Linked DNA regions of Daphnia pulex. The protein of the gene in region 3 purifies or fractionates together with the protein of the main gene of each other region. This does not show direct contact. Links are inferred from orthologs where the notes say so. Each region holds a gene or a part of one and is shown on either strand. Other genes may lie near its edges.

Region 1 (4,464 bases), on a different chromosome or scaffold from region 3:
TTTACTAAACACCCGCCGGTCTTGGGGATAGCCGAGAGTGTACAGTATCCTTCAAAAAAATCCGAACGGCGATTTTTATTTAAATAGCCACCTATCCATAATGCGGGAAACTGGGTTTGGTTAATAGGCTGAATTTTGGGGGTAAAGAACGAAGCGAAAGGTGGGAAGAAAGAAACCCTCCCCCTCCGAAATAAAAAGTGTGAAACAAAACCAGACAGGCTGGTTGGAATAGCCGCAGGCTCACTGTCATTTTTTCGACAAGTGACGAGAAAACCAGAAGCTACCAAATCTAGCATTAAAAAGCGGGAAAGTTCAAAGGAATCGCCTTAAGTCATTTGTTTAATAATCGGCAATGAGTTTAAGTCGGTTAAATAAACTTTTCGCGCCATGAAAATTCCAGACAGCCTGTCTGATTTCATTCGTATTTCTTTTTGGGGGGGGAGGGGGGAGACATGGCCAATGGCTAATTACTCCTTTTTCTTTCTTCCCACCTTTCGCTTTGTTCCTTACCCCCCCAAATTCGGCCTATAAACCAAACCCAGTTCCCCGCCATATGGATAGGTGGCTATTTGAAAAAAAATCGCCGTTCGGATTTTTTTGAAGGATACTGTACCTTTCCTATTATATCGTGGTTTTGGCTTCCATTACTCCAAGGACAGAGTAATAGATAATGGTGTACCCACTACCATGTTAACTCCTCCTCTCGGAAATTTTTCCTAGAGCTGCAGCGAACATCACGACTCGATAGTGAAAACTGAGCTTAGGTATCTATGTTTATCCTCTATCACCAACGCCTCTTGCTACCGAGCGAAACCTTCGGCAAAACCATTCCCCATTTCCCACCACACCTGCTGTGGCGCTAATTTTAAGAGCTGGGAAGTGGAAAGCTAGAAACACTTTTAGGGAAAAAGGAAATGGAAGGCCTCCTGTCCTAGTGGCTACACCATTATCTACTACTCTGCCAAGGAGGTCTACAGACAATTATTTCTTTCTTTTCTGGGTTGCAACCATTATACTTCTAACATCGAGTCCACCAGTCAAGGAGGCCGGATTTGGGGGTCTGGGGGGCTTATCATTTTTGGGGAATTGGTGACAAGGCATCGCAGTACATCCCCAAATAAACCATTTTATCGGAATTTTACTGTTTTTTGTTGTTATAGTTTTGAATTCTTCACGAAAAACTATGAGGGCCCACCAGAAATTGTAGCGTTTTTTCGGGTTTTTTACATCAGTTTTCGGGTGAACCAGGCCGTTTAAAAAACGGATTTTTCAGAAGATTTTGCCCCTTTCCACAGACGTCTTGCCCCGTTTTTTATCTAAGCTTTATTGGCAGAGATATAAGGGATTTAAAATCTGGAAAATTTTCCGCCATTTTCTAACGATTTTCGTAATCATCCCACTTCATTTTGCAAGCCATCTACCGGCCGATTTTGAAAACCCTCTGGTGTGTAGGACAAAAATCTGAATAGCCGGGAGAAGAAATTTCCCTTGCATTTTCAAAATCTAGATATTATTTATAAACATGGATATGGAAAAGACAGGACAGGACAAAGTTCATTTTGCAAAAAGCTAGCAGCAGCTAGTAGCCTGAGCAGAGCCCTGAGCTAGCAGTTGGCAATTTCAATTTGTTTGAAGTAAAATTCATTTTAAACATGGCAATGTTGCCTGTATCTGTGTATCAAAATTGACGCACTCATGTGCATTTTGTATTTAACTCATTTCATTGCAAAATTTATTAAGTATTCCGAAATTAAACGTCTTTTCGATGGCTCGTGACGGACACAAGTATAATTGTTATTTTTATTTAACTTATTAATTCATTTATTAAGTAAAATAATATGCAGATTATAATAACGATATAGATTATGTAAATTTTTTGTTTACAGTTTTTCATTGCTTAATATTATTATTTTATTTACATTTCTCATCTACGCTAGGCATAATAAACGATCCAGAAGCCGAAGCAGATCCAGTAGTCCTCGTTCTAAAAAACTTCGAGAACGAGATAGAGATGGGGAACACAGGCAAAGAGACAGGGAACGTGAAAGAGATAGAGATCGGGACAGGGAGCGTGACAAGTAATTAATTTTTCATGTTTACAAAAGATAGTCTGATCCATGTTAAGAAGTAAAAACTACCTTTTTGTAACATTTTCCAGGAGAAGAAGCAGATCAAAAGATAGAGATCATGATAAATCTAAAAGATCAACAACAACTTCAGAACGAAGAATTTCAAAATCCCCTGATAGAAAACCAACTTTAGTCGAAGAAATTAAACCTGTTTTGAAATCTGAATCAGAGCTAAAGGAGGAAGCAGCTGTTGCAGCCATGATTGCCAAAGTAAGTTGTTCTATTTTTTAATATTTTGAAAGGGTGTACATTGTTTGTTTGTCTCTTTTCTTGCATATAGGAAGAGGAGCAGAAAACTTTGGACTTGGAAATGCAGAAACGCCGAGAACGAATAGAAAAATGGCGTTTAGAACGAAAGATGCAGGAAATTGCTCAAGTTAAATCTGATCTAGGTAATAATCTAGAAATAACTTTTTAAAAAAACTGACTGTCTTATATACTTCATAATATTGCCATCCTTTTAAACAGCCAATCAAAGAGCTGGGAAAAAATGGTCACTTGAAGATGATGAAGAAGAGGAAGAGGAAGATGGAAAATTGAAAACTGAATCTGCTAAAGTTGAAGCAATTGAAACGATCAACGAAGAAATTGAAGTTCAAGAAGCAGAGGAAGAAGTTGACCCTTTAGATGCTTTTATGCAGGTACTTCAGAATATCTACATGTGCCGATTTGGTTTTGCCGAATCGACATGGATTCGTACCTTACTGCTTACACTAGTATTTTTAAATCAACATCTATTTAATTTAAAAAAAAAAAATAGGACATTCAAAGTGAAGTTCGAAAGGTTCAGAAACTTGACGTTCAAAAATCAAAAGGATCTGGCGTGATGGTAATGACCGGAGTAGCAAAGAAAGCTGCTAAAAAGAAAGGTGAGCTTGTGGAACAAAATCAGGACGCTTTGGAATATTCCTCAGAAGAAGAGTCAGAAGACTTGGCATCAGCAATGTCCGGACTGGCGAATAGCAACATAAAACAGAAAGAAAAAGTTTTTAAAATTGATCACAACAAAATCAACTATTTTCCTTTCCGGAAGAACTTTTACGTGGAAGTACCCGACATAGCACGTATGACCCAAGAAGAAGTAGATGAATACCGACAGGTGTGTATGACTGATACAATTGCTAGTGCCCCAGGACGTTAAAAAAAAATTGTTTAACATATAGGAACTTGAAGGCATTAAAGTTAAAGGAAAAGGGTGTCCGAGACCTATAAAAGCATGGGCACAATGTGGTGTTAGTAAAAAGGAAATGGAAATTCTAAAAAAATTAGCATATGAAAAACCAACCCCCATTCAAACGCAGACAATCCCTGCAATCATGTCTGGTACACAACAACGAACACTTTTTTGTTGTATAAATTTTAAAAAATACTATTATTAAAATATATAGGCAGGGACATAATAGGTATTGCCAAAACTGGCAGTGGCAAAACACTGGCATTTTTGCTGCCTATGTTTAGGCATATTTTAGACCAGCCTGCATTAGAAGAGACTGATGGGCCAATCGGTACGTAGTGTTTAATATCATCGATGTATTTATTTTATTTTTTTTTATTATTATTATTATTTTACCTTCATAAATATTCCACTGTTTTAGCTATCATAATGTCTCCTACCCGAGAATTGTGCTTACAAATCGGCAAAGAATGTAAAAGATTCACCAAGTCATTGAATTTGCGTGTGGTGACGGTCTACGGAGGAACGGGAATATCAGAGCAAATAGCTGAACTAAAACGTGGCGCTGAAATTATTGTGTGCACACCCGGAAGAATGATTGATATGTTAGCTGCCAACAACGGTAAAATTTACCTATAGATTAACTATTAAAAAAGTGTCTTAATTTTAGTCTTTGAAATAGGACGTGTCACCAATTTGCGGCGTGTGACTTACATAGTTTTGGATGAAGCTGATCGCATGTTCGACATGGGTTTTGAGCCACAAGTAAGCAAGATAGTAATACTTCGTCGGGTGACTAGAAATATTTATTCCTTTTATATAGGTAATGCGAATCATTGATAACACTCGCCCTGATCGACAAACTGTTATGTTTAGTGCTACATTTCCCCGTCAAATGGAGGCCTTGGCTCGTAGAATCCTAAACAAACCTGTTGAAATCACGGTTGGAGGTCGTAGCGTTGTTTGTGCTGACGTCGAACAGCATGTTCTTGTTATGGAAGACGAACAAAAATTTTTGAAAGTTAGCTTTTTTCTTAAATTAACAATGAATTTTTGTTTATAAACTAATTTATTTTGGTAGCTTTTAGAGTTATTGGGGGTTTATCAGGAACAAGGAAGTGTTCTTGTATTTGTTGAGAAACAAGAAAGTGCTGATGACCT
Region 2 (4,217 bases), on a different chromosome or scaffold from region 3:
TTTGTTGTAGTTGCATTAGGCTGCATGCGTATATTTCGAATCAATATTATCGCTTTATAGTTTGAGGTTCTCCGGTTTCCCCTCATCCTTCCCCAGTTTTTTCCTCAAGGCTATTTTTTGGAGAGAAAGCAGTCAGTCAAGCTCAAGGTCTTTTTTAGCTTCTGCTAACACACCTTGGCACCGCAAACCCAAGTGTAGAGCCATCAACCGGTCATCAGCAAAAAAAAAAAATTTGGCGGAATTGTTTTAAATTTAAGTTTAAAAAAAAATTTTGGGAGAGAATATATGAGCAATAGAGCAAAATTGTTCGTTAATTGCAAGATTAGATAAGTTTTGGGTTACCTGAATGAGCTGTATGAATTTCGACACACAATAGTTAATTCGTTTTGTAATCAAAATTTCCCATTCATTTGACACGTGCATAGAAAAAAATGTCGTTCTTTTATTGTATTCAGGGATAATGGAAAGGGAAATTAGGATACACGATACATGCATATACTAGCCAAAACTGCAATGTAATATGGAAAAACCCAACGTCACTATCGAGTTGTACCCAAAATGAAAATTTCCCAAACTAGAAATAACAAAATAACGGAATGCTTTTGATGTTCTGTAAGCATGTATATTATATAAGTTGGAAAACCCTTTCATGTGGATCTGTTTTGTTTCGGCCGGGACTTAGGCCATGCACGGAAATTTACAATTAGTACAATTAACAGAACATAACGTTATATTTAACGAGGTATTAGTGAAAACTTCCGCTATTAAACAGTTATTGTGTAAAACAATGAAACTTTAGGGATAATGAGTATTAAATTAGGAAAAATTTTACGGTGATTCCATTATAATTTCTTCTGATTTTAAATTACCCTAGTAACAAAAAGTGGTGATGTTGAATATTTTTGGGACTTTCGCTATACAATAAATTGTGATTTCTTGTTCCTTTCTGTAATAATGTTTAAACGCAATTTTATGCAAGAATAATCAAGAAAGATTCGACAATGGAATACGACGATATTGGAGTCCATTCAATTTCACGGTGACATCAAACAATGGAATTTATCATCCCTGTAATAAGGCTGTAACAAATTTTACATGTTTTGGGGCCGATGGCTCGCGTGTTGCCCTCATGCGCATTTTCTTCTCCACCAGATTTGATCCTACTGACTGCCGGCCTCGCCTGTTACACAATGTAATAAACATTTGTGACAATTGGGTGCAGTTTTACGACATATACTACATGTTTTTTTCCTAACGCGAAAATCAACGAAATTTTAGTTGTCATATTCATATACTCATGACTCATGTTGGCGATGTGCCGATTGGCCGATCTGATTCTGTGTTATGTTATTCCTCGACCAAAAAAGAAAAATAATAATGATTGGCATCGCTGTTTTGGCCGATGCGAGCTGGAATCGGCTGAAATAGTATGAAGTGCTTGTGGGATGGATTGATCGAAATATAATTAAACCTTCTATGACGTGAAATTATAAGAAGATACTCAACTTCTTTTTAACATTCTTGCAACATTAGTGTATTGTGTCAAAATGGCCAAAAGAGGACTGTCTCGTAAAGAACTCGAAGAAATCAAGAAGCGCGAAGAAATTGAAGCTGCTGCTGAGGTGATACACATTTGTTTGGAGAAGCTGAACTTCAAATAATTCAATATTATTGTTCATTGGATTTATTATTAGGTATTTGAGGAGTTTGTAGCCACATTTCAAGAAGATGCCAGCAAAGTCAGTAAAGTTTGGGTCAAAGCGGGTACCTATGATGCTGGTCAAAGAAGTAACAGATTACACATTTAATGCTATAATATAGCCATTTTTCTTAATATTTTCATTTTAATTTGCAGAGGAAGATGCCAAAGATAAAGGCAAATTGTATAAACCAACATCTAAATTGGCGAGCTTAGCAGAATCTTTCTCCACAAGATCCAAGGCAAATGAATCTAAGGAATCTAAAGAATCAAAAGATAAAAGTTTACAAAAAAAGGAGAAGAAAAAGAGCAATCTTGAGATGTTCAAAGAGGAACTCAGAGTGTAAAACTAGATTATTCTCTTATTTAAAAAATAATGTTACAATTAAATTTTCTTACAGTATCCAAGAAGAAAGAGAGGAACGACACAAAGTTAAAGCTCACTTGAAACCAAGTCGCTTTGAGCCTGTCAATGTGAGTTCTCCAAGTACTAGCAAAAGCTCTCTTGCTCTTGGATCAATCTTGATAGGTATGTAAATTGTAATTGCATTTTGTAGCAAATTTGTCACACTTTTTTTGTTTCAGAAGAAAAGACAGGATCATTTGATGTAGGAGATCCCAATACCACTAACATTTATTTAGGCAATATCAACCCTAAGGCAAGTTTTAAATAAATCATGTTTTTATCAACTTTATTAACATAAATTTAATGTCCCTTGCAGATGACAGAACAACAATTGATGGACACATTTGGAAAATATGGACCTTTAGCCAGCGTAAAAATCATGTGGCCTCGAACTGAGGAAGAGAAAGCAAGGAATCGAAATTGCGGATTCGTAGCCTTTATGTGCCGAAAAGACGCAGAGAGAGCGATGAAAAAATTAAACGGTTTGACAGTTTATATTCCGTTTTTTGCATCGATGCATTTATATCAAATGTTTATTTTTCAACAGGTAAAGATATTCTGTCTTTTGAAATGAAACTCGGATGGGGGAAGGCCTTGCCAATTCCTGCTCGACCGATTTACATACCGCCAGCATTACTTGAAAAAACGCTTCCTCCACCACCAACCGGCTTGCCTTTTAATGCAATACCCTCCCCACAAGATATTGATCAGGTATGGCTGGTATGCAGTACCTTAGATGTTCTTTCAAACATAATTGAAATTAATATTTCCCTTGTCACAGATCCCGCCACCCGGAACACCCTACCCAACACACGGCGAGGCGTTGGAGAACTTCAACAAGGTATTGGGGGATGGGCTAAGCTATTTCAATCAACCCAGCAATATGACTGACACAAGACTCGAGACTTTTTATCCGCCTGTTCCGGCATTGTTACTCATGGTCGGCGGATAAAAAGAAGCGAGTGCTTTGTGTGCGGTCGCTTCGTTGGGAGGTCTCATCTTTTCTATTTGTGTTCTTCGGCGGAAAGCGATGAAACCCAGCCAAAAATTTGTTTTCATGCGTTGCATTCGTTTGGCTAGTGAAGACCGTTGTTCGTGTCTCACTGCTCTCATACTATTGTGTGTTTGGAAATATGTTGATGTTTCACCCGGGTTTGCTGCTTCTCTCGCAGATTATATCCAGGGCTGTTGTCAAAGTGGTTATCCCTACAGACAGGTATGTAACAAAGATCAAGCCTCATAATACCTTGAAGCTGCGCGGCTGTGTGACATTACCCTGCTCCCTCCGAGCCCCAGGGAGTATACACGTTTTGTCACGAAGGAACAACACATTGTTCTTTTCATTCTTCCAATGCGACTATTCCTTAAGTCTTATTTAATTCCTTTGTAAACTTTTAACTAACACTCGGAATGCTTGACCAAAAAAAAAAAGAAAGAAATTTTGCTTTTTCAATTGACCCACTTCTTTTAAATCATCGAACAAAATTTTTTAAGTCGGTAGCTAATCTTAACATTTTCATTTTTATCACCACGTAAATCTGTACGATTGACATTTGTGCGTGTCATACGTATGTTGAACTTGGTTTTCTGGAACTGGCGTACACAGAAATTTGTTGTGTTTGATTCATCGAATGATCGAATCTGTTGTTCGAGAGGGCCCAATGCTTGAGGCCATGGTGATGAACAAGGAAATTGATAACCAGCAATTCAGGTACCTAAATTGTCTTTTCTAAAAATGTTGTTGGATAGTAATTATTATTTCTTTTTTACTTTTGCAATCAGGTTTCTATTTGAAAACCGGAGTCCAGCTCACATTTACTATCGCTGGAAATTGTTCTCAATCCTACAAGGCGAGTCTGGTAATGTGTGGTCCACAGAAGACTTTCGCATGTTTAAAGGTAAAATTTCTTTTTATTCTGTAAATTATCCAGCGCTCATTTTTAAAAATTAATAGGCGGTTCCATCTGGAAACCCCCGTCTATGAACCCGTTTTCTGAGGGCATGCCAGACGAACTTTTCTCGTCCGACGAGGAAGATGATGAGAGTCGCCGACGATCGCTCAGCAAATCGTATTTACTACAATTATTTTTTCTAATTCATTAAGCAATTCTA
Region 3 (2,800 bases):
CGCGTCAAAAGCTGCCCCGACATTGTGGATCAAATGAACCAAGATGGTCTACTACCGACCAACATCCATTTGGAATTGGAACTGAATAAAACTAACGGTAAAACTAGCGACAGCCAGCAACAGACTTTGGTCTTGTTGAGAGTGGCCAGCAGCAGATCACGCCGCGATAGTCAAACGCAACGCTATTCATGCGGAGCCCTGGATGGCAAAGTCTTGGTTACGTCGAATAATAATAACAACAGCAAAATAATAAAAGATTCGTCGTCCAACCCGTCACCCTCGCCTTCGGGCTGCGGTTCTAGACACAATAGCAATTCCAGTTTGAATTGCAACAGCTTCTCTGTTATCGAAGTGTCATAATAAATTGATAATTATGTATGTGTAATTATTTTAAACACTACTTTATTTTTAGGGTCTGAAATTTTGCTAGTTTTCACTCTTTGCTATGTTGTACACCCCCCACCTAACAGGCTGATATCATTGATACTTTTATTGATTTTATACTTGTACCTTCTATTTTAAGTGGTTACACAATGTTGTGCAATAGGTTATTTTTATTATTGTAGTCCACATGAAATGACTTGTTTTCAAAACATGATTATTCTTGTCATTGTGTAAATTATTCTCTTGCCGGAGACATTTTTCATGTGTAAAAGTGGCTAGGCTTCATCAAAATAAATATTGGAAAATATTACTAGGGAAATTTATATAAAACTAAAAAATAATAAATAGATGTTGAGAATGAAATATTCAAGTGTGGTTGTAGCATCATGTTTTTCTTATCAGTCAGCACATCAAGATTGGATGTACACAAAATCAGTTCCCCGTTAATCAAAGGTAATACACGACAGAACACAAATTGGGAATGCATTCTGACCAATTAATATAGGAAGATTAGTCGTCTCCACTTCCTGCAGCATTTTGGATTAGAGTAATGTTGTCACCTTTCAGCAACACCCGTCCTAAAATAAAACAGCATTTAGAAGACAGAATAATTGTGAGTAAATGAAAACGTCATTACCAATCTGTTTTCTGACATTTGTTTTGACGTAGACTTCCTCTGCATCATCGAGAACAATGTTCATGTACTCATCAAATCCAACAATGTGTCCTTCCATGTGCATGTTGATGTTCTCATAAAGCCAAATGTCTACTCTTGATCTTGTCTGAAGGTATCTGAAAATCAAGTTCTGGAAAAAGACATTTTTGACACACGTGCCGGTTAATAAATCTTCGTGCTGAAATCGAAGTGATAGTGGTGAAAACTTACGATGGGTTGAACCATCACTTTCTGGACTTTAGGTGCTCGGGCTGCCATTTATCTTGAATTGATATTTAATTGATTCCACACGGGAAAATTATCAAATTTCTAAATGAGAGTTGTTTGAGTTTACACTTTTTGTTGAAGAAGAAACGAACACAGACGCTCAATTGCCAACAACGTTGCCAGATATTTATTTCCTCGTAGGGATTTTCCGATATTTTTCAAAAAGACAAGGGCGGCAAAGGCAAGCAGGCAAAGCAGCCAAGCAGCCAAGCCAGAGTAACAGAATATTACTTTTTTTATGCTGGCATCCCGTTCCGGTTTGCGAGGTTCCCGTAGGAAATAATATCAATTAAAAATTTAAAAAAGCAAAAGTAAAGTAAACATGAAATTCAAAATTAATTACATGAATCTATCGGTATGGTGAATGGGAGGGGGGACGGGCTTCGCCTGCCACCCCCGCCCCCCCCCTCTTGCTTCGTTAATCGCTTAAATTACTGTTATACTTTTACATTAAATAGTATCAATCAAACAAGGCCTATCGGAACATCAAAAAATATCTGTGAATCATAAGGGGTGCGACTTAGGTGTGGCGGAGGCTTCGCCCCGCCACCCCACGTCGCACTCTCTTTTTAGCTTAAGTAACAGCAAAATTTATTATTTTCATAAGCAATATGAAATAAAAAATAATTAGTTATAGTTACAGATAAATCTGTAAACAGTTAGAACAAACCAAACCACAACACCCACCCTCTCTTACGCTTCGTTTAAGTTATTTCGATATTTTTACTTGAAATCGTATACTAATAAAAAATAATACATATCGAAATCAATTAAAACATATCGAAACATTCAAAAGTTATGTCAAACATTCAAACATTGGGGTGTGACTTAGGTGTGTGCTGTGGCGGAGGCTCTAGGCCGCCTAGAGCCTAGATAGATGCCAGTTAACTTTTACTTTTGGTCGCTAGAGCCTAGATGCCAGTTTCTACGCGCGCAGTTCAAACTGTTTTTCATTTTCGAGGCGCGCAGTTCAAACCGTTTTCCAATTTCTACGCGCGCAGTTCAAAATTCCAAAAAGCCATCTATTGGCGAAATTTGAACTAATCCTCCCGTATGCCAAAAAACCTGTAGAATTAATATATTTTTCTATTACTCTGCTGACTGGGCCTGTGGGCTGTGGCCTTGTGGCGTGTGGCCGTTCTGCGCCGATCTGCCGTTCCTTTCCTTACAACAACTGATGCTTGCTGCTTGGAAAAATTCACAGAATCACAGCTAATACTGCTAATACTTTTCATTTAATGTCAACTTTTGGGCTGTTCTCGCCTTGGGATCCACAATGAGTTTCGCTGTTCTGTTCGTGGAATAATTTTTTTAAAAAGAAGATAAGGACATATTCATACGAGGGGTCGAGGGCATTCTCTGACGTAACTATAAAACATACGGTTTTAATTTGCCAAGTGTGTCACTGTGTCACATCTCACCTACAGTATTTAATTCAAAATTGGTAAAAGTCAATTTTCAAATTTTACGTTG
Region 4 (4,254 bases), on a different chromosome or scaffold from region 3:
AAATGTGGATAGGACAAAATCTTCCCTTCCCTTAGGCTGCCGAGGGGGGGGGGGAGCAGATACGTAAACGTGTTTCTAATTCTGAGTTTATAGAGAACGCCTCGCCTATAACAGAGAATGACATTAAAAGAAAGAAGAAAAAAGGTAGAATAAAAACAGGGCCTTATTTGAAAATTCGAAAACAAAAGAAATATATAGGGAAAAAACTCGATGCGTATCGTTTTGAGCGTCAAAGTAACGTCGTTTGTATCTGTCAGGATACTTTCTCTATTTAGATCTATCGAGATAGGCAAGCCAGCAGCCATAGCGTTGGAGTCTTCTTCCCTCTTCGAGTTGATGTGCGCACATTTACAGTATAAGAATCTCGACTGCGGTCAAGAAAAGGAAATGGAAAACTGTGAAGAGTTTTATTAGTTTTACTACACAAATTATTGCATTTATGCCTTATAATCAGCATATACTACGTATTCTATCAGCACAAAGTGACTGCAAGAATCTGTGGCTGAATAAGGCTGTTTAATGAAACCATTTTTGGTGACAAACACATCCAACGGTTGCAGCAGCATAAATAAGTTGGCAATAACTTGTCTCGTATTGAATGCTTTTGTGTCTCGTTCGTCTCGTTTGTCCATCTCCAATTACGGAATCAAAGATCAACACTGTTTTGTTTTTGTTTTTTAAATTTTTGGATGAGCGTGATTTCTGGTTGGAAGCAATATCCAACCCGGAGGCAACGCGTTGCTTGCACTGATTGAACGACTGCAAAATGATCGTCGCTTTGAAAAAAATTTCGCTTTGAAAAAATGTTCCCAATGGTTTCAATTAATTTGATTTAATAGCTAACACTCTGAATTACTTGTTAAATATCGCAATAAACTTGATAACAAAACTAGAGATTTGGAATTTTAAAAAATAATAAATAAAATCTATCAGATAGAATAGAGACACGCGTGTCTCTATTAGCGGTACTGACAGTAGCTTATTCTAGAAATGAGTTCGTTGCCTCCGCTGGTGTTCTGGTAAACTCATAACACTTGAAGGAACAGAAAGGAAATGAGTTATTATCATCAGATGGAGTTCGAAGAGGAAAATAGTTAAGGGTGTTAAATAGCAAGAGCATTGGCATTTTTTTAGCTGCGAACCTGGGAATAAATAATATGTTTCAAACGGAAAAACTCGACTAAAATTAAGTAAAATCAGTGGAAATGAGACGGGCAAATAGATAAAATTGGTAATGTGATTCTGCATCGAACACGATATCAGATTCAGATGCACTGTGTTACATATCATTGACCTCAATTTTTTATGTTATAAGATGACCATTTTAATCATGTATGTCTCAACATTTGAGCATGTGAATTTATTCTTGTTTCGTCTACGCTCGACGGTAGCCTACTGCTTTTTCTCCATGAAGCCAATTCCATGTCACTATCATATCCTAAATATCATTTCAAGATATAGGGTCTACCAAACCGTAAGTACATAAGCAAAGATTTTGTAGGGTGAAAGCTAATTTCATTATGTGCTTCAAATTTGCAACCTTTTCCCGCTGGCGCTAGTTATAAGTTAACATATAGCCTGTGGCGCTATCAATGCTCACAAAGAATTACCGCATTATAAAGATTAACTAATTAATTATAACACTGAGAAATTTTAGGTTAAATATTGAAAGGGAGAATCAAGAGATAAATAATCAAGAGAATGATTTTAAACATCTACAGTTAACATTGTTTAGCTATTACTATAAGGGTGAAGCCAGTATGCCGAACGCCGAAATAGGGGGAAGAGAATGGGTAGATAGATGTCGTGTACGTGGTGTGATTGTGTGACGTATATTCGTAATATGTGTATAACAAACACGCAGGCAGTCGACAAGTTGTGGCATTTTACTTCATGAGCCACGCCATCTATTGATTTCTTATATTCCCTTTTAGATCCCTATCGGCCTCTCCCTACTCCGACCAGATTTTCAGATTGCTATAATTAATTTCTGTCGAGGAAGAATTATAAGATCTATGACCAACTGATAGATGCAATCAGTGACCAATTTAACTCAGCCCACGAACAAATGTGACAAACCTATTTGATGTAAGACTTGTGCGTACATTGGCAAATATGAAATTCAAATTTATTTTGATGTGAAACTTACTTGACACGGTAGCCAAAGTAGGTGGTAAGAACCATCACGGCAGAATTATTTCAATTCATAATAGGATAAAGCAAATCATGCAACAATGCACAACGGTGCTGCGGTGTTATGTACGCTCATGCTTGCGGCTTTCTACAACAATTAACAAACATGAACATAATCAAATTATCAAAAAAGATCAGCAATTCAATAAAGCAATTTTTATTTGGAATTAAGTTGTGAGATAACTTTTAGAGGAATGGAAAGATGTTACGTGTATACCTGTCCTACGAATGCGACAAGAGACGATTCTTTTATTCGTGCCGCATTAATCCTCTTGCTGAGCTGCTGCAAATTGCACCTTTATACTTAAAACTAAAAATTTCGCCATCTATACGAAAACGATGGAGTGATCATAGTATCATACACCGAAACTAGATGGCGTGGAACGAAACGTTAACAAAACGTTTTTATTGAGTACCTGAATGGCTGAATCGAATTCTGGAAAATTTAGATCTCCAATATATGATTGGATTATATATGATTACGAATCACATGATGGCAAGATTATTTACATTCTTAATAAACTTGGATAACTCGTTTTTACATTCTTAAGTCTTAACAGATGCATGCGTAATTATTAGTAATTGCATACGTAGGAGATGTCACTTTCTCCCTGCATGACAGAAACAGAAATTTAGTAAAAATTTTGAATTCGATTATAGGAAGTACACCTAGAAATGTTACAGTAACCTAACCGAGTTTATAAGATACAACAAAATATATTGAGTAGTAACAGATTCACAATTTAACACATAATTAAGTCAAATAGGAGGAAATAAAATCATTCATCATGTTCGTCGACATGGCTTGAAATTGAAGTATTTTTAAATTGCACTATAATATGGATTAAATTTTTTTTAATGTCTTACAACTTTATGAAGTTTTAACGAATAGTTTTTTACGTTATCCGTCACTTTTAGTTTTTGATGTACATAATAAATGCACGTCTAATTTTTATCTATTACTAAGCTATAGAATTTTTCAATAATATTGGATTTCCATAAGCGCATAACCTGACTGCAATTAATTCTCGATCAACCGCAAATTCAGTTTCTCTTAAACTAGGTACACATGTAATGCTCAGTGCTTTTTTTTGCCAATTGTGCAACGCTGCTATGAGAGAGGGGATGTATTTATTACTGGGGTATGGGGACTGAACGCAAAGAAAGGAGCAGAAGCATCAGAACGTCGAATAGACAAGGTTGCTCAGGATACACCTTGTCCAGAAATTGGAACACAAATCATCACTTTTGCCAACTCAATTTTAATTCTAGGTAATAACTCATCCTTTCCAATTGTATTGGAGCCAAAAAAGTAGGTTATAGTTAATTTTCTTTGTTTATAAAATACGTTTATGATGTGAGGTTTCTGGCGTGACCGCTAGATGCTGCACAGCGTGTGGATTTATTTAAATTTGAAAATTATTTAGAATTTGCATTAAAAACTTCTAAAATTGCAATGTTTTAGTGTGTCAATGTTTAAGCAGAGAGATGTGTGTATTGTAAAGCTGTTTTCTTTTTACAGATTGCTGAAGCAAATTTAATGAAACATCATGGCATCAACCCAAGTAGTCTCTCTCAGTATTGGACAAATGAAGCGGGTGCATTTTCCTGCAGAAGGGGATGACAGACCTGTAGAAGCTATTCCACATTTTGTCAGTCCCAAAAAAATGGTGAAACCAGTAACAGGCAGTCAGCGCAAAAGAAGTCTCAGTCTTTCATTTGAAAGCAAGCAACATCACTTCAAGAGAAGACGCAAGGAAGAATTTGTGAGACCAACAAAATTTCTACTTGGAGGCAATAGTCGAGACCCGTTGAACTTGGGCAGTCTAGCAGATGAAAGAATCAACAAAGCTTTGAATGAGCATACCCCAGAATCCTCTCCGTTACCAACCCCTAAACACAGGAAGGAAGAAATTGAAGTATTAATTCCATCAAATATAAGGGATCCTTTAAACCTGAGTATGCCAGATGATAATTTAGCGGAAAGAGCGTTAATATCTCCGAATGCCGTCTCTAGAAAAAAGAGAGGACGAAACCGTAAAAGAAGGAGGACCAATAGCG
Region 5 (4,426 bases), on a different chromosome or scaffold from region 3:
TGTAGACGGATTTTATATCAAAAGTAGAAATGGGTCACCTTTGAGTTTGTCCCAAGTCCAAATGAGATGAGATAATTTGTGCTAATAATAATGATTTACCTGACAACCGATAAATGGAGAAATGAGAAAAGTTGAATATATTTCCATTTCTGAGACCAGGAAGGAATCGATGACAGTGTAGCAGAGGGAGAGACAAAATGGTTGTAAAATGCTTTCCGATTACGTAATTATCCCCCAAGGTCCGTACTGATGTAAATGAGGTTTTTTGATGGTTTAGGATTTTCCAGAATTGTTTTTTACTTCTTACGACCGCCTCGTTCCTTCACCTGAAGCTGGACAACAGCATCGGGGGTAACATTGTAAAATGCCAGAGAATGATTGTCCTTGAAGTAGAGCCCCTCCCAAAAGAGCTTTTGCTTGGCCGGCGGCATTCCTGTCGCTTCACTAATCTTCTGCTTAACAACGGAGATTGGTTCCGTGGGCAACAAGGAAAAGCTGAGCTGCTGGCCCTGCAATCTCCACTCGGGTTTTTCGGCGTAAACTGGTGCACCAATATGGAAGTGGAGCAGACCGGGATATCTGACCAAAAAGGCTTCCTCAGGCATAAGTTGATCCTCGTTGCGCTGTCGTTTAGAAGGAGGCTCCTCCTCCATGACATCTCGACCACCCTGACCCTGCTGCTGTTGCTGCATCATGCCCATAGACTGAGGCATCTGCGTCATGAAAGAATTCTGGGGGACCATGGGCATTGGCATTGGCGGCTGAGGGATGGACATCATCATCATGGGTGGCGGCTGCGGAGCAGACATCATGACCGGTGGTCTTGGTGGAATGCTCATTAATTGTTGTGGAGGTTTAGGTGGCGCTGCTGCTACAACGCCATTAGATCCTAGCCCATCTTCTTCCTCGCTCATGCCAGTCATGAGCGCCTTGTTCTTGTGGATCTGCGCAATCTGCTCTTGTATGGTAACCAGGCCAGCAGGTGGACCAGGTCGGGGTTGGAACGTTGATCCTCCCTCTCCACCTGATGGTGGCGGGGCAGGCGGTTGTTGTCCTTCCCATTTGGTCTCGTCTTTGCGACGCTCTTCTTCACCAATCTTTTTACCGATGGCTGTCTCTTCGTCACCGACACCGAAAATATCTGTACGACGTTCAGCCAATGCTCGCAAGCTGTTTTCGATGGCTGATCCGGGCGCGTACACAGACTCTTGAGTCATCTTTTCTTGCATTTGTCGATCGCGCTGCTCCAACCAACGCGGATCCAGCAAACCGATACGCATGTGCTCAGCCACTTGGCTAGCCGGAATTCGCTCTCCAGTGATGGGTGAGATGAGGTACTCGTCTGGAGCAGGCGGACGGGCTTGTGGTTTTGCCACAGCTTTGGGATTGTAGTCTTTACGCACGATGACGTTTTCGGCAGAAGGAGCCACTGGAGGAGGCTGTAGTCCATCTCCCTTGATGGCTTGAGAGGGCGGTGCGCCTGGTGGTGGTGGTGGCTTTGTCTGTTCCGTGTCTGAATCGTCTTCTTCATCATCGTCTTCCTCTTCACTCTCCAGCTGCATCTCAACATCTTGTCCTTCTTCGTAGCGCTCCTGGAGAAGAATACGGGCACCGACCTCCTCTGGGGTTGTGGGAGGAGGGAAATTACCAATTTCGAATGGTTGATAGTCAACTGATTCGACGACTACAAAGTCGTGCCAATCAATTTGCGCATATGACACGCGTTCCCTTTCAGCTTCTTCTTCTTCTCGGCGTTTCTGAGCCTCTTGATGACGTTGCCAGTCGGCTCGTCGTTTGACTTCTTGTAAGACAACGCTAGTATTAGTGCAACCCTCGTTCAAACGGGTCATCAAGTCTTTCGGTGGGATAAGAACCTAAAGAATAACAAAATCATTTAGACTTTCATTCAAACAAAATAATCTACCAATCAAAATACTTTGGTGTACTGTTCTAGGAGACGAGTGAAATATTGAAAAAGCGAGTGCTGAGGACGCAGAAAGTCAAACTGATAATTTCTGGCCTCACGATTCATCAGACTTGTGAGGAACTGGCGACCATTCCTAGCTACAAATTGGGCAGTGAGTTTCACAATGTCTCTGAAATAAGACACAAGTGTTGTTAAGTTTTAGCTTCATAATATTTAAATAGTTATTTAAAAAACTCACAATTCCATGGCTGAAATCGATGGAGGATCAACAATGAATTCAAACTCTGGAGGTGGCTCTTTTGGGATTACAGGGGCTTCTTGCTGGAATTGTTTCAAAATTTCTTGCTGTTTCTGCTGCTGTGCCAACGAAGCTGGTGCTGATGTAGGGGCTGATGGTGGTGGTTTTCCCGGTGGGCCTGGGACAGGTGCTGCTGCAGGTGCACCTTCTGCAAGCTTTCCTTCTCTGATATCCTTAACTTTGTACTGGTAGTATGCATGATAAGGATCTCCAGTATTAAGAAAGTTGAATTTTGGGTTATTCTGCTCATTTTTCCTAATCCGTGCTTCAAACTCCAACCCATTTCTGGCTACAAAGCTGGCTGTCTTGTCCACAATATCTAAGAAGAAAATTGTTATGAATTATTCACGAACTTGTAAGTTGACAACAAACTTACTTCTGACTTCAGGAGGTGGGTAAATGATGCCGACAGTAGGCTTGGTAGAAGCATTCTCGGGCATATTTACTTCACCAGAAACTGGCAATGTTTCCACAGCAGGTGGCATGCTGACTATCAAACTCTATTCTGATGTATGAAATTGTCAGATTCTCACGTCAAAATTAAAAACTGATTCTATTTCTAAAATGTGAGTTAAATAGCGTTTTTCTGTTCCGGCTTTAACAGCAGAACGCAACAAAACGTTGCTGTCTATCCGCTACAATGTTGTCAGACTGTTTAATTTCAGTGTGGCGCCCACTTCTTCCGAATTCCGATTCCGACTTCTTCCCACTTTTTTCCACCTAGAAAAAATTGTTAAACTCTTATCTGCTATTAGTTCAATTCAGAAAAAGAATCCCTTGAACTATACTGTTGAATTATACGGAATTCACTAATATATGTCAAGTACCAAAACAAAATCATATCCAAATTCATAGTTCATTCGGTTCATTCATCTGTTTGCTCGTTTGAATCGATACAAGAAATGAAGAAAGTATGTAGTAAGAATTTAGAATAAACTTGAACGTTAAACAACAATGATCAAGTATAAAAAATACAACCACTTTGAACTGATTGAGGAATTATGACTGGATCTTTTAGATCTTTTATCTGATAGATTTTAAGATTTCTAACAGGCAATTTGAGTGAAGATAGTAGGAAAATGATTGTTTAGCAATGAACAAAGAAAAGGAATTTTGTTTTTAAAATCCAAGAGAAAATTCATTAAGCAACCATCAGATTTATTTTTCGACACTTGTTTGAAATCAAAGAATTTTCGAGCCGTTTAGGCAATGTTCGCCAAGTAATCCTTAACCTCAGCGGGAGATAATCGGCGGAAACCCTGCTCGTTACAAATACCAATTTCAACATTATCTTCTGTCATGCCTCCTTCAAAACCCTCTTTGAGAGTAAGAATCGCAGTGTGGACAGCATCGTCGAGCTCGAGGTCTTCATTGTATCTTTTCTCGAGGAAAGTTTTGCCATTGATGTAATTCTTTCCCATGGCAGTGGCTTTCCAGGCAAAGTAGGCTCCTGATGGATCACACTGAAACAGATATGGACGTCCTTCATCCCAGCCACACATCAAGAGTGAAACACCAAATGGCCTGACACCTCTGCATTACAAAAATTCATTGAAATGTTCATCTATACTATTTAAGAACTATTTTTTTGTGACAAAACCAAATATTTACCCAGACTGTGTGTACTCTTGCATGAGGGTAGCAACACGCTGGACAAGCTGGGCAGTTGGTATCTGTTCTTGATAAGTTACCCAATATTGTTGAGCCATTTTCCTTGCTTGACGAACCAAGAGGCGATAATCAGGACCCATTCCACTGTAGACCATACCGATCTTGGGGGTAATCATTTCAATCTTGTGAACACTGTGTTCTTCATATAAGATTGACCGATGCTTCTTCTCAGTGGCCAGAACGACACCATTGGCAGCTATAACATAACATTATTTACATTGTTACAATCTTTTACATGCTGAAATTTCAATATACCTTTAATGCCGACTGATGCAGCACCGGCAGCTACTGCGGCCAAAGCATACTCGATTTGTACCAGTTTTCCAGAAGGACTAAACAATGAAAATAAATGTTATATTTAGTCAAAACTTAGAAAGTAAATGATAGAAAACCTGAAAGTTGTTAGGGAGAAACTATATCTTTCGGAAGCCATGGTCTAGTTAGATTTTTTAGTTCTGTTCTGTTCAGTTATTGAATGACAGGACAGAATTGAATGCGCCTTCAACACTTGGTCGGGAAATGAAGAAGAG
Region 6 (3,214 bases), on a different chromosome or scaffold from region 3:
CTGTCGTGCTATGCGTGAGACGCTAAACTCGAGACTGAATCAATATTGAGACTTTCCGAGAGGCTTGAGAACGTTGAACTTTGATACAACCCAAGCTACAGCGCCACCATGACCACAAAAGGCGTTCTTGAGTAGCACTACTGTTATCGATCTTGTCTTTTCTAGTGGAAGGTTCACATAATGTTAACGTCAACCGAAGCTTTACCTCAGAAAAAATGCTAAACATTCTGCACGCTTTGTCGAAACACGTCACATTTTTTTCATTTCAAGTTACCTTAAGAAGTTCTTTTTTTAAAGAAAACCAATGCTTTCTTTACTGTGGCAGCGATATTTTTAAGTTAAAGATTATTAAACTTGTTTTTTTTGTCACACATACAGTTTTTTTTTGCTTCCCGCTTAAAATCTACACATAATATTGGAGCGGGCGCATTCTTTTTTTTTAACTAACCGAGAATACTCGCGTTCATGGCAATCGAACAGTGAGGTGACACCAAAAATTGTTTTACATTAATTATCTCCTATGCTTTGAAGTTTTATTATTTAAAATTTCAAAGAAAGCAATAGTAAGTAAAGCGTGAATAAGGGAAATATGTGCGGTTAATGTTCAGGATCGGCATCTTCAAACTGACCCATGTCTGACTCCATGTTCTCCGCCTCACCATTATCATGATCTTACGAACAATTGAGGTGCACATTGAGAAAAACAATAAATATTTGTCGGATATCAATTAAATGAAATTATATCAGATTTACCATTTTCAGCTGTTTCTGCTCCATCAAGGCAATATTCTCCTTCCTCAGTATCTTCAAAATCTCCTTCTAAATAAAAAAAAAAGTTAATACAATAATCTGCAAAACTTTTGCCTTTTGTCAAATATTACCATCTGAAATTGAATCATTAGGATCAGGATGGAGTGTTTGACATATTGTCATGGCATGGTACATGGCATCAAGAAGTCCCCGATCTTCTGGAATAAACCTTACTTCAGACATATCAGTTTCAGATTCCTCATCCTCAGAATCTTGATTATCTAAAGCTTCATCTTAAAAATATAACTTTAATCAGACAAACCTGGAAACATGAACACATCTCACATAACATTTTCTCAAATGATATTTTAAACATAAATATAGAATTGGGTATTACCGGGTTCATCAAGCCTTGAATCCAACATCAAGTACAAGCATTCCTGTGGAAATGCAGAAGGATCTTTTGAAACAGCATGTAACGATATGTGGGGGTATTCCAGCGAAAATCCCTGGCCAGATGTGGCACTAACCCATGATACACGACTAAATGGTTTGGAATAGGTAAAATTATTTTTCCGTGACTCTTGTAATCGAAAACTTAAATAGAATATAAATATAAATTAACCTTTCTGCAATATATAATGTTCCTTGGCCCAAGTCTCTGGTGTTGATGAAAGCTCCAGTATTAGGCTGAACTAATTTGATTCCTTCGGTAGGCGGAGGAAATGAAGATAATACAACCATTTTTTAAGAAATTTAACGAATTCAGAAAAGAAGAAGAGCAACAATTTGAAAATGAAATATGATTCGAATCACGCTGTCAGCAGCACAACGTTTTAAAAAAAAATTGTAGGCTGCAATGAAAACGTCATCTAGGGACTAAATCATGAACCACGAACACATCACCTGACTTTAGCTGTCACGAGACTCGAGACTGTCAAACTTTTTCTAAAGGCAATTGCAGCTGCTGTTGACCAGACAAGAAGGCAAGATGAAAGTGGCATCAATTGTCGGCGTATTTTGTCTATTAACCTCAGGTAATTATTTTCTAGCGATTGAAAACTACAGCTTTTGAAGTGTTTTGTTGCAATGCAGTCCTGGGAAATGGAGAGTTCAGCATCTTGCACAGCCCTAATGGAGTCAACTTTAGGGGAGATGAACAGCTGAATACAAGTGAATTGCCAAAAATTATTTCCACTGCAATGGGGCACACAACACCTTTTGTAAGTTCTTTCATTCATTTATAACTTTGTAGATTAGGAACTATATGTTTGGTTCCAAACGAAGGAGTGATATTGCAACTTGATGTATCTATGATGAAATCAGTTTGAAGCAATACCATTATTTGCTGTTTTCAGGGTGACTCGTGGAATGGACTTACAGTCTTGAATCCATTTAATTACCCAGAAGTTTCAGTTGCTGTTGTTGTTGAGGGTGTGCAAAGTCTCCAGTTGAGTGAACCCAGATACCCACTAGAGATCACCTCTACTCTTGATCAAGTGAAGGATGATTTCACTTCTATTCTAGGCCAAGTTGTATTTGACGAAAATGACTTATATTCTGGTGAAACCCAGAAGATTTTGGCACTTCAAAAGCTCAACAAAAAGGATGTTGCTGTCTTGCAGTTTCTTAAAGATATTGATGTTTTGATGGATTTAAAACATAAGGTATTTTCATTAGTTAAAAAATAGTGAGAGGTTTTTACACACAATACATTATTTTCAAAAGGTATTGGCAAAATCCGTCTTCAAGACTGTTTGGATCCGCCTTAATGGTTTGGATGATATCATCAGTGTCTATGGTCAAGACTCTGAGCAAGCTTTGGAAGCAGTTACTATTTTGAAATCTGCTCTCGGCGAGCTTCAAGATGCACTAGAAAACACTTATGGCGATCGAGTATGACACAGTTATATTTGAATTCGAAAAATTTGTGTGTAACAATTTTTGTCTTTTTATAGTTTATCCTAACTGCCATAACCATTGAAAGACTTCGCCTTCGAGAAAAGAGGTCTACGACTTCGAATGCCAAAGCAAATAGCGTATGATTTTTTAAAATTTTATTTTCAAATAATAGTCGAGGGTTAAAATAACTTTATCCTCCTTCTTTCAGGAACTGTATTGGAAGTTGAATTTATCTAAACGCTATGGATCGGATTACTCATCCATTTTTAATATCCTTTTATGGACATCCGTTTTCTTGATTGCTGCTCTTATTTCCACCGCTGGTAATTGATTAATCTGAGTTCGATTTTTGCAATCTGCCATAACATTATCCCTTTAATTTTTCAGTGTTTATTTGCACACTCGATCCTGGTCGTGACTCCATCATCTATCGGATGACGACACAGCGCATCAAAAAGGAAAATTAGAGAAGTCACATTCCGATTTATTTGTTGGCTTGAGCCTCACTGATAATAATTTAGCGTGTAAAAAAATGTTACTTTGTTTGGTGTACATTTTCTAG
Region 7 (4,336 bases), on a different chromosome or scaffold from region 3:
CTCACTCCGCAACGTCGGAATACGAAGTTGATTGAAGGTCAACTTTTTTTCAAAAAAGGGCTCGTGTTTTGGCATATGAATCAAACACAACACCCAACCATCTCGGCGCCATTCGACGAGCTACTGGACCTCCCTCCGGATCTCTGAAAATCGAGTGGAAGAAATAAAATGTTGTTTTGAATGATTTGGATCAAATTGAAACGAAAGAGCACTTTACACAATCAGTCAAAAATATTTTGGGTTATTTCATTTCCACTTGAACAAATACACTTATTTCGATTCACACACAATCTGTCGAATTCTTTCCAACGCCAACGACTTTTTTCCTCCAATTATTTTAATATTAGAACAAGGAAGAAGATTTTGTATGCGGCCGATTTGCTCACGACCCGATCGCCGACTAACTTTGCCCACGAAAAACTGGCAAATTTGTTTGTTTTTAGTTTGAATTTTTCTTTTTCCTACACGACGCGCTTCTCATTTTCTTTCTGGTCTGGTGTTCGCCCTTTTTTTCGCAGTTGCTTCCAAATATTTTAAAACTTGGCTCAAGTTGGATGCAGTGTGCTACTATTTTGGGCGCCATACACACACACTCGCATACACACACACACACACACACACACTGCTGATGTATATTATTGGCATTCGCAGCCGCCCACTCAAGCTATTATGTTACCCGAACGGTCGAGAACGGAAATAGGAAGAAGAACAGGCGAAAAAAATGGTCTTCCACTGGTCATCATTGCCCCGAAACACTGTCATATTAAAAAAGAGGTAGTTCATCTGGGACAAAGAGTTATGATATTTGGTGTGTCTTTTGTTGCGACACATCGTTCGATTGGGACCCTGCCAAGAACGCATTTTGAAATAGCGAAGAAAAAGCGAACTGTCCGTTTGAGAGTTGATGTATCTATTCATGTGTGCTACTGCTGTAATTGTTGGTTGACCGATTACTTTGCGTGTGATGACACGACCTGCAGCGCGAGAGAGAGAGTCAGACTCCCCCCCAGCGAGACGAGGAAAGAGATTGGAACTTAACGCGTCAACACATCATATCAACCTTTAATTATGTGGAAAACGAGTTTGAATTACAAAGAAGCATATACTCATAAATATGGAAAGCTGCATTCGATGTATACAAACAAGAAATTTTTCCCCAATTGAAATTCTTGTCACACGTTAGGGAATTTACTATTCGCACCGAACTTCACGCCATCTAGTTTAGCAAAAACGCACCGTTTACTAGACTCTGGCGGAATTCAACACGAACTATTAATGCCGGCATCGAAACAATTCACAGTTGCATATGTATGTGTGTTTTTGATTGCCTAAAGTTTAATTAAAGTTTTAAAACATAAAACTCTGCAATGGATCTACCTCGTCCTCCCGAAGGTAATAACCGTTTAAATTGAAAAATCTCCTCATCAATTTGTTCACAACAAATATTTTTATAGACATAGAACTGCGCAACATTATTGACAAGTTAGCTCAATTTGTGGCGAGAAATGGTCCCGAATTTGAGCAAATGACGAAAAACAAACAACGAGATAACCCCAAGTTTGGTTTCCTGTTTGGTGGGGAACTTTTCAACTACTACCAGTACCGTGTGACAACAGAGCAAGCAATTAACAAGCAAAAGTTTGTCCGAGAGCAAAGTCAACCCATGAGCTATCCAATCAACTATGGCCCACCGCCTAATACAGAACATCCCAGTTTCAATAGGAATTACAACTATGGCCCTTCTTCTGCATGGCCTAGGGCTCACCCACAGCCATCAATGCCCAATCAGATGTCATTTCCTGGACAAAATCCCATCCCTCCTCAAACAGATTTGATTGCTTTAAAAGGTGCAAAAGATGTACTCGTTGCCCAACAAACTCAACTGCAGGAACAGGTAAACATACTCCAGATCATATCAAAAATAGTAAATACTAATTGGTTTGGTTCACCAGATCAAACAAAGTGAAAGCAACTTGGCCGCTCAACATCAAGTGACAGTGCAACAGCAGAAAAAGCAGACAGAGGAAACAGTCAAGTTGCAACACGAAAAAGAAGTCATGGAAAAAGCGTTGGCAAGTGGAATGAATTTGGCAGAGTTAGAATTGCTTTTACTGCCTATCATGGATTCTTGCACCAAAGAATCCATATCTCAGGGTAAAGCTTGGATTCTCCATCATGTGATGCAGCCTCATTCATCCTCTGATGCCATAGCACAATATCTCCTTTTCAAAACAACTCAAAGCAGTAAGTTTTCCTCTGTTGTGGCTACTTGGCATTGCCTGAGCATTTTTTTTTCTTTCTGAATCAACAGGTCAATTTACCCACAAACTTCACTTGATCTATTTGGTCAACGACGTGTTACACCATTGTCTCCGCAAAGGACCCGACACGCTTTTAAAGACACTCGAACAAGTTGTCGTCCACATGTTTTCAAACACTAGTCTGTCTGCAACCGACGAGGAGCAAAACGCCAAATTGCAAAAACTGGTCGTTTTGTGGCAAACGAAAAATAATTTGTTTGAGCGTGGTGTCCTGGAAAGGTTACACGCACCTTTACACATCTGGAATGAATACCACAACAGTCTAGTGGCCAAATACTCGGCAGCCGTAGCAGCTTCAACTAGCAACATTCAGCATACGTACGAAAACTACCGCGGCCAGCATCAAGCCTTCGTCAATCATGCCAACCACCAGATTCAGCAGCTAGAGCAACAGAAACTGCAAATTGAAGAACAAATCGCGGCGGCCAATGCTTTGCAGTCTTTTAATGCACCTCATCACGCCATGCCGCCGGATTTCTTATCTCGCCCGCCGCCAGTTGCTTCCCTTAATGCCCCGCAAAACTACCCGTGTGAAGGAATTGAACCAAAGGCTCCCTACTTCGACTTACCAGCGGGATTACTCGTCCCACTGGTGAGAATGGAAGACAGCGAGTACAAAAGCATCGATCCGAAAGATATCCGCCTTCCTGCACCGCTCCCACCGTCTGAGCGATTGATTGCCGCCATTGATTTCTTCTACAGTCCTCTCTCGCACGACCGACCACGAAACGCAGATGGGTTCGTGATAGATTTCCTTTCTTGTTGGCTTATCATTCAAGCTTCTTCTTCTCAACTTTTCTCTTTCTTGTTTTTTTTTTTAGGTGGGAGCAGATGGCTCTTTTCGAGTTTTATAAGAACAAGGCAACTGCGAAAAAGAAGAAAGAAGAAGATATTGCTCAGGGATTACGCGACATGTCGCCGCCTCGAACTCCTATCGAAGTTGTCGAGGATCATTCCCCTGAAAGAAGTGGTAAGAATGGAATCAGAAGTCCCGTGCGTCGAAGATTCCGCAGTGAGTCGCCCGAGGAAGAGCATAGAGAAGAATCGAGGCAAGCTCGATCACGATCCAGATCGCCTAGAAATTCAACAAGACGTCGCCGAAGTCGATCTAATTCAGAGTCGCCCCGTCGAGCTGCACGCTCTCGTTCTCCTACACCTAGTCGTTCGGAATCAAGATCTAATTCGCCCGTCACGATGACCGGTTTTGCGCAAAAGCGGAGCCCCACGCCACCTTCAGAAATGTAACCAACCCCTTTTTTTTCCTTAAGTTAGGTCAATGTGATTTGGTTAAATTTGATTCGGCGTTTTGCAGTGCATCCGTGTCGTTTGCCAAAGGTTTCACGACAAAGCTGGACGAAAACAACCGAGGGCATCAACTCTTGTGCAAAATGGGTTGGGGAGGAGCTGGACTCGGCGCAAATGAACAAGGCATAGCGGAACCCATCAAAGGAGGAGAGGTATTGATCGAACGGTACTATTTTTGTGTCAACAGAATAGCGGATTGATATTTTTCGTTCTTCAGGTTCGCGATCGTTTGGACCAGTTCAAAGGTGTCGGTATCAATATACGTGATCCTTTTGAAAATTTCCGAAAAAGCAAAGGTCAGGCGTTCATCACGAGAATGCGCTCAAGGGCCGAAGAACGAGAAAAAGAAAAGGGCGGACCTGACGATCCTCCAACTCCATGAGAATTCACTCACTCTACTTTTGCTTAACTCACGAAATACAGTCGATTCGTCTATACCTTGATATCCGTTTAATGGTGACCTGAACAAGTAAGGGGGAACAGCTGTTTGACCAATTCTTCAGCGTTGACTGTAAATTCACTTTCGTCGTTTGTAGTACCAACCTAAGAAATATTAGATTGATTAAAAAAAATCGAGTCAATATAATCATGCACGCAATTTTACCATGATGGATCGAAAACCTGGGCGTGTTAAAGTCCGTCTAGACACCATGCTATGTAAAGTTAACCAAACGGACCCCGAGTGATATTTGGCTATGGCGACCAAGTTG

Evidence for each region.
Region 1: the proteins of probable small nuclear ribonucleoprotein E (region 3) and probable ATP-dependent RNA helicase DDX46 purify together in Homo sapiens (co-immunoprecipitation; 3 studies listed by BioGRID and IntAct, counting the BioPlex papers as one, with this or other methods). This does not show direct contact. The link is inferred for Daphnia pulex from reciprocal best matches to the Homo sapiens genes SNRPE and DDX46.
Region 2: the proteins of probable small nuclear ribonucleoprotein E (region 3) and U2 snRNP-associated SURP motif-containing protein-like purify together in Homo sapiens (co-immunoprecipitation; 3 studies listed by BioGRID and IntAct, counting the BioPlex papers as one, with this or other methods). This does not show direct contact. The link is inferred for Daphnia pulex from reciprocal best matches to the Homo sapiens genes SNRPE and U2SURP.
Region 4: the proteins of probable small nuclear ribonucleoprotein E (region 3) and probable RNA methyltransferase Y17G7B.18 purify together in Homo sapiens (affinity purification with mass spectrometry; 3 studies listed by BioGRID and IntAct, counting the BioPlex papers as one, with this or other methods). This does not show direct contact. The link is inferred for Daphnia pulex from reciprocal best matches to the Homo sapiens genes SNRPE and MEPCE.
Region 5: the proteins of probable small nuclear ribonucleoprotein E (region 3) and splicing factor 3A subunit 1-like purify together in Homo sapiens (affinity purification with mass spectrometry; 3 studies listed by BioGRID and IntAct, counting the BioPlex papers as one, with this or other methods). This does not show direct contact. The link is inferred for Daphnia pulex from reciprocal best matches to the Homo sapiens genes SNRPE and SF3A1.
Region 6: the proteins of probable small nuclear ribonucleoprotein E (region 3) and methylosome subunit pICln-like purify together in Homo sapiens (affinity purification with mass spectrometry; 5 studies listed by BioGRID and IntAct, counting the BioPlex papers as one, with this or other methods). This does not show direct contact. The link is inferred for Daphnia pulex from reciprocal best matches to the Homo sapiens genes SNRPE and CLNS1A.
Region 7: the proteins of probable small nuclear ribonucleoprotein E (region 3) and calcium homeostasis endoplasmic reticulum protein-like purify together in Homo sapiens (co-immunoprecipitation; 3 studies listed by BioGRID and IntAct, counting the BioPlex papers as one, with this or other methods). This does not show direct contact. The link is inferred for Daphnia pulex from reciprocal best matches to the Homo sapiens genes SNRPE and CHERP.

Annotation. Positions count from the first base shown.
Region 1 is NC_060028.1:6,108,543-6,113,006, forward strand, and holds the start of probable ATP-dependent RNA helicase DDX46, read left to right. Parts: upstream 1-1,586; 5' UTR 1,587-1,765; coding exon 1,766-1,785; intron 1,786-1,937; coding exon 1,938-2,078; intron 2,079-2,158; coding exon 2,159-2,339; intron 2,340-2,409; coding exon 2,410-2,521; intron 2,522-2,597; coding exon 2,598-2,770; intron 2,771-2,889; coding exon 2,890-3,228; intron 3,229-3,292; coding exon 3,293-3,452; intron 3,453-3,517; coding exon 3,518-3,634; intron 3,635-3,724; coding exon 3,725-3,925; intron 3,926-3,985; coding exon 3,986-4,068; intron 4,069-4,126; coding exon 4,127-4,324; intron 4,325-4,384; coding exon 4,385-4,464. UniProt on the Homo sapiens protein: Component of the 17S U2 SnRNP complex of the spliceosome, a large ribonucleoprotein complex that removes introns from transcribed pre-mRNAs.
Region 2 is NC_060023.1:3,571,321-3,575,537, forward strand, and holds the start of U2 snRNP-associated SURP motif-containing protein-like, read left to right. Parts: upstream 1-1,387; 5' UTR 1,388-1,547; coding exon 1,548-1,622; intron 1,623-1,694; coding exon 1,695-1,788; intron 1,789-1,855; coding exon 1,856-2,042; intron 2,043-2,100; coding exon 2,101-2,228; intron 2,229-2,284; coding exon 2,285-2,358; intron 2,359-2,421; coding exon 2,422-2,587; intron 2,588-2,652; coding exon 2,653-2,816; intron 2,817-2,886; coding exon 2,887-2,946; intron 2,947-3,277; coding exon 3,278-3,321; intron 3,322-3,711; coding exon 3,712-3,816; intron 3,817-3,887; coding exon 3,888-4,003; intron 4,004-4,059; coding exon 4,060-4,174; intron 4,175-4,217.
Region 3 is NC_060026.1:14,103,664-14,106,463, forward strand, and holds probable small nuclear ribonucleoprotein E, read right to left. Parts: upstream 1,444-2,800; 5' UTR 1,319-1,443; coding exon 1,271-1,318; intron 1,191-1,270; coding exon 1,022-1,190; intron 963-1,021; coding exon 895-962; 3' UTR 756-894; downstream 1-755. Other genes in the region: serine-rich adhesin for platelets-like, read left to right, coding at 1-360. UniProt on the Homo sapiens protein: Plays a role in pre-mRNA splicing as a core component of the spliceosomal U1, U2, U4 and U5 small nuclear ribonucleoproteins (snRNPs), the building blocks of the spliceosome.
Region 4 is NC_060021.1:10,084,218-10,088,471, forward strand, and holds the start of probable RNA methyltransferase Y17G7B.18, read left to right. Parts: upstream 1-1,367; 5' UTR 1,368-1,474; intron 1,475-3,185; exon of another isoform or gene 3,186-3,256; 5' UTR 3,257-3,465; exon of another isoform or gene 3,466-3,505; intron 3,506-3,715; 5' UTR 3,716-3,743; coding exon 3,744-4,254. UniProt on the Homo sapiens protein: S-adenosyl-L-methionine-dependent methyltransferase that adds a methylphosphate cap at the 5'-end of 7SK snRNA (7SK RNA), leading to stabilize it.
Region 5 is NC_060024.1:13,065,671-13,070,096, reverse strand, and holds splicing factor 3A subunit 1-like, read right to left. Parts: upstream 2,923-4,426; 5' UTR 2,711-2,922; coding exon 2,602-2,710; intron 2,545-2,601; coding exon 2,166-2,544; intron 2,097-2,165; coding exon 1,937-2,096; intron 1,875-1,936; coding exon 297-1,874; 3' UTR 111-296; downstream 1-110. Other genes in the region: proteasome subunit alpha type-2, read right to left, coding at 3,428-3,758, 3,837-4,092, 4,152-4,228, 4,289-4,329. UniProt on the Homo sapiens protein: Component of the 17S U2 SnRNP complex of the spliceosome, a large ribonucleoprotein complex that removes introns from transcribed pre-mRNAs.
Region 6 is NC_060018.1:1,924,990-1,928,203, reverse strand, and holds methylosome subunit pICln-like, read right to left. Parts: upstream 1,682-3,214; 5' UTR 1,495-1,681; coding exon 1,376-1,494; intron 1,294-1,375; coding exon 1,148-1,293; intron 1,044-1,147; coding exon 882-1,043; intron 820-881; coding exon 754-819; intron 672-753; coding exon 598-671; 3' UTR 501-597; downstream 1-500. Other genes in the region: renin receptor-like, read left to right, coding at 1,742-1,787, 1,846-1,973, 2,109-2,417, 2,479-2,646, 2,709-2,789, 2,861-2,975, 3,040-3,119. UniProt on the Homo sapiens protein: Involved in both the assembly of spliceosomal snRNPs and the methylation of Sm proteins.
Region 7 is NC_060023.1:8,902,549-8,906,884, forward strand, and holds calcium homeostasis endoplasmic reticulum protein-like, read left to right. Parts: upstream 1-1,253; 5' UTR 1,254-1,367; coding exon 1,368-1,392; intron 1,393-1,454; coding exon 1,455-1,894; intron 1,895-1,952; coding exon 1,953-2,244; intron 2,245-2,311; coding exon 2,312-3,059; intron 3,060-3,142; coding exon 3,143-3,562; intron 3,563-3,633; coding exon 3,634-3,778; intron 3,779-3,843; coding exon 3,844-4,008; 3' UTR 4,009-4,063; downstream 4,064-4,336. Other genes in the region: TELO2-interacting protein 1 homolog, read right to left, coding at 4,077-4,169, 4,231-4,336. UniProt on the Homo sapiens protein: Involved in calcium homeostasis, growth and proliferation.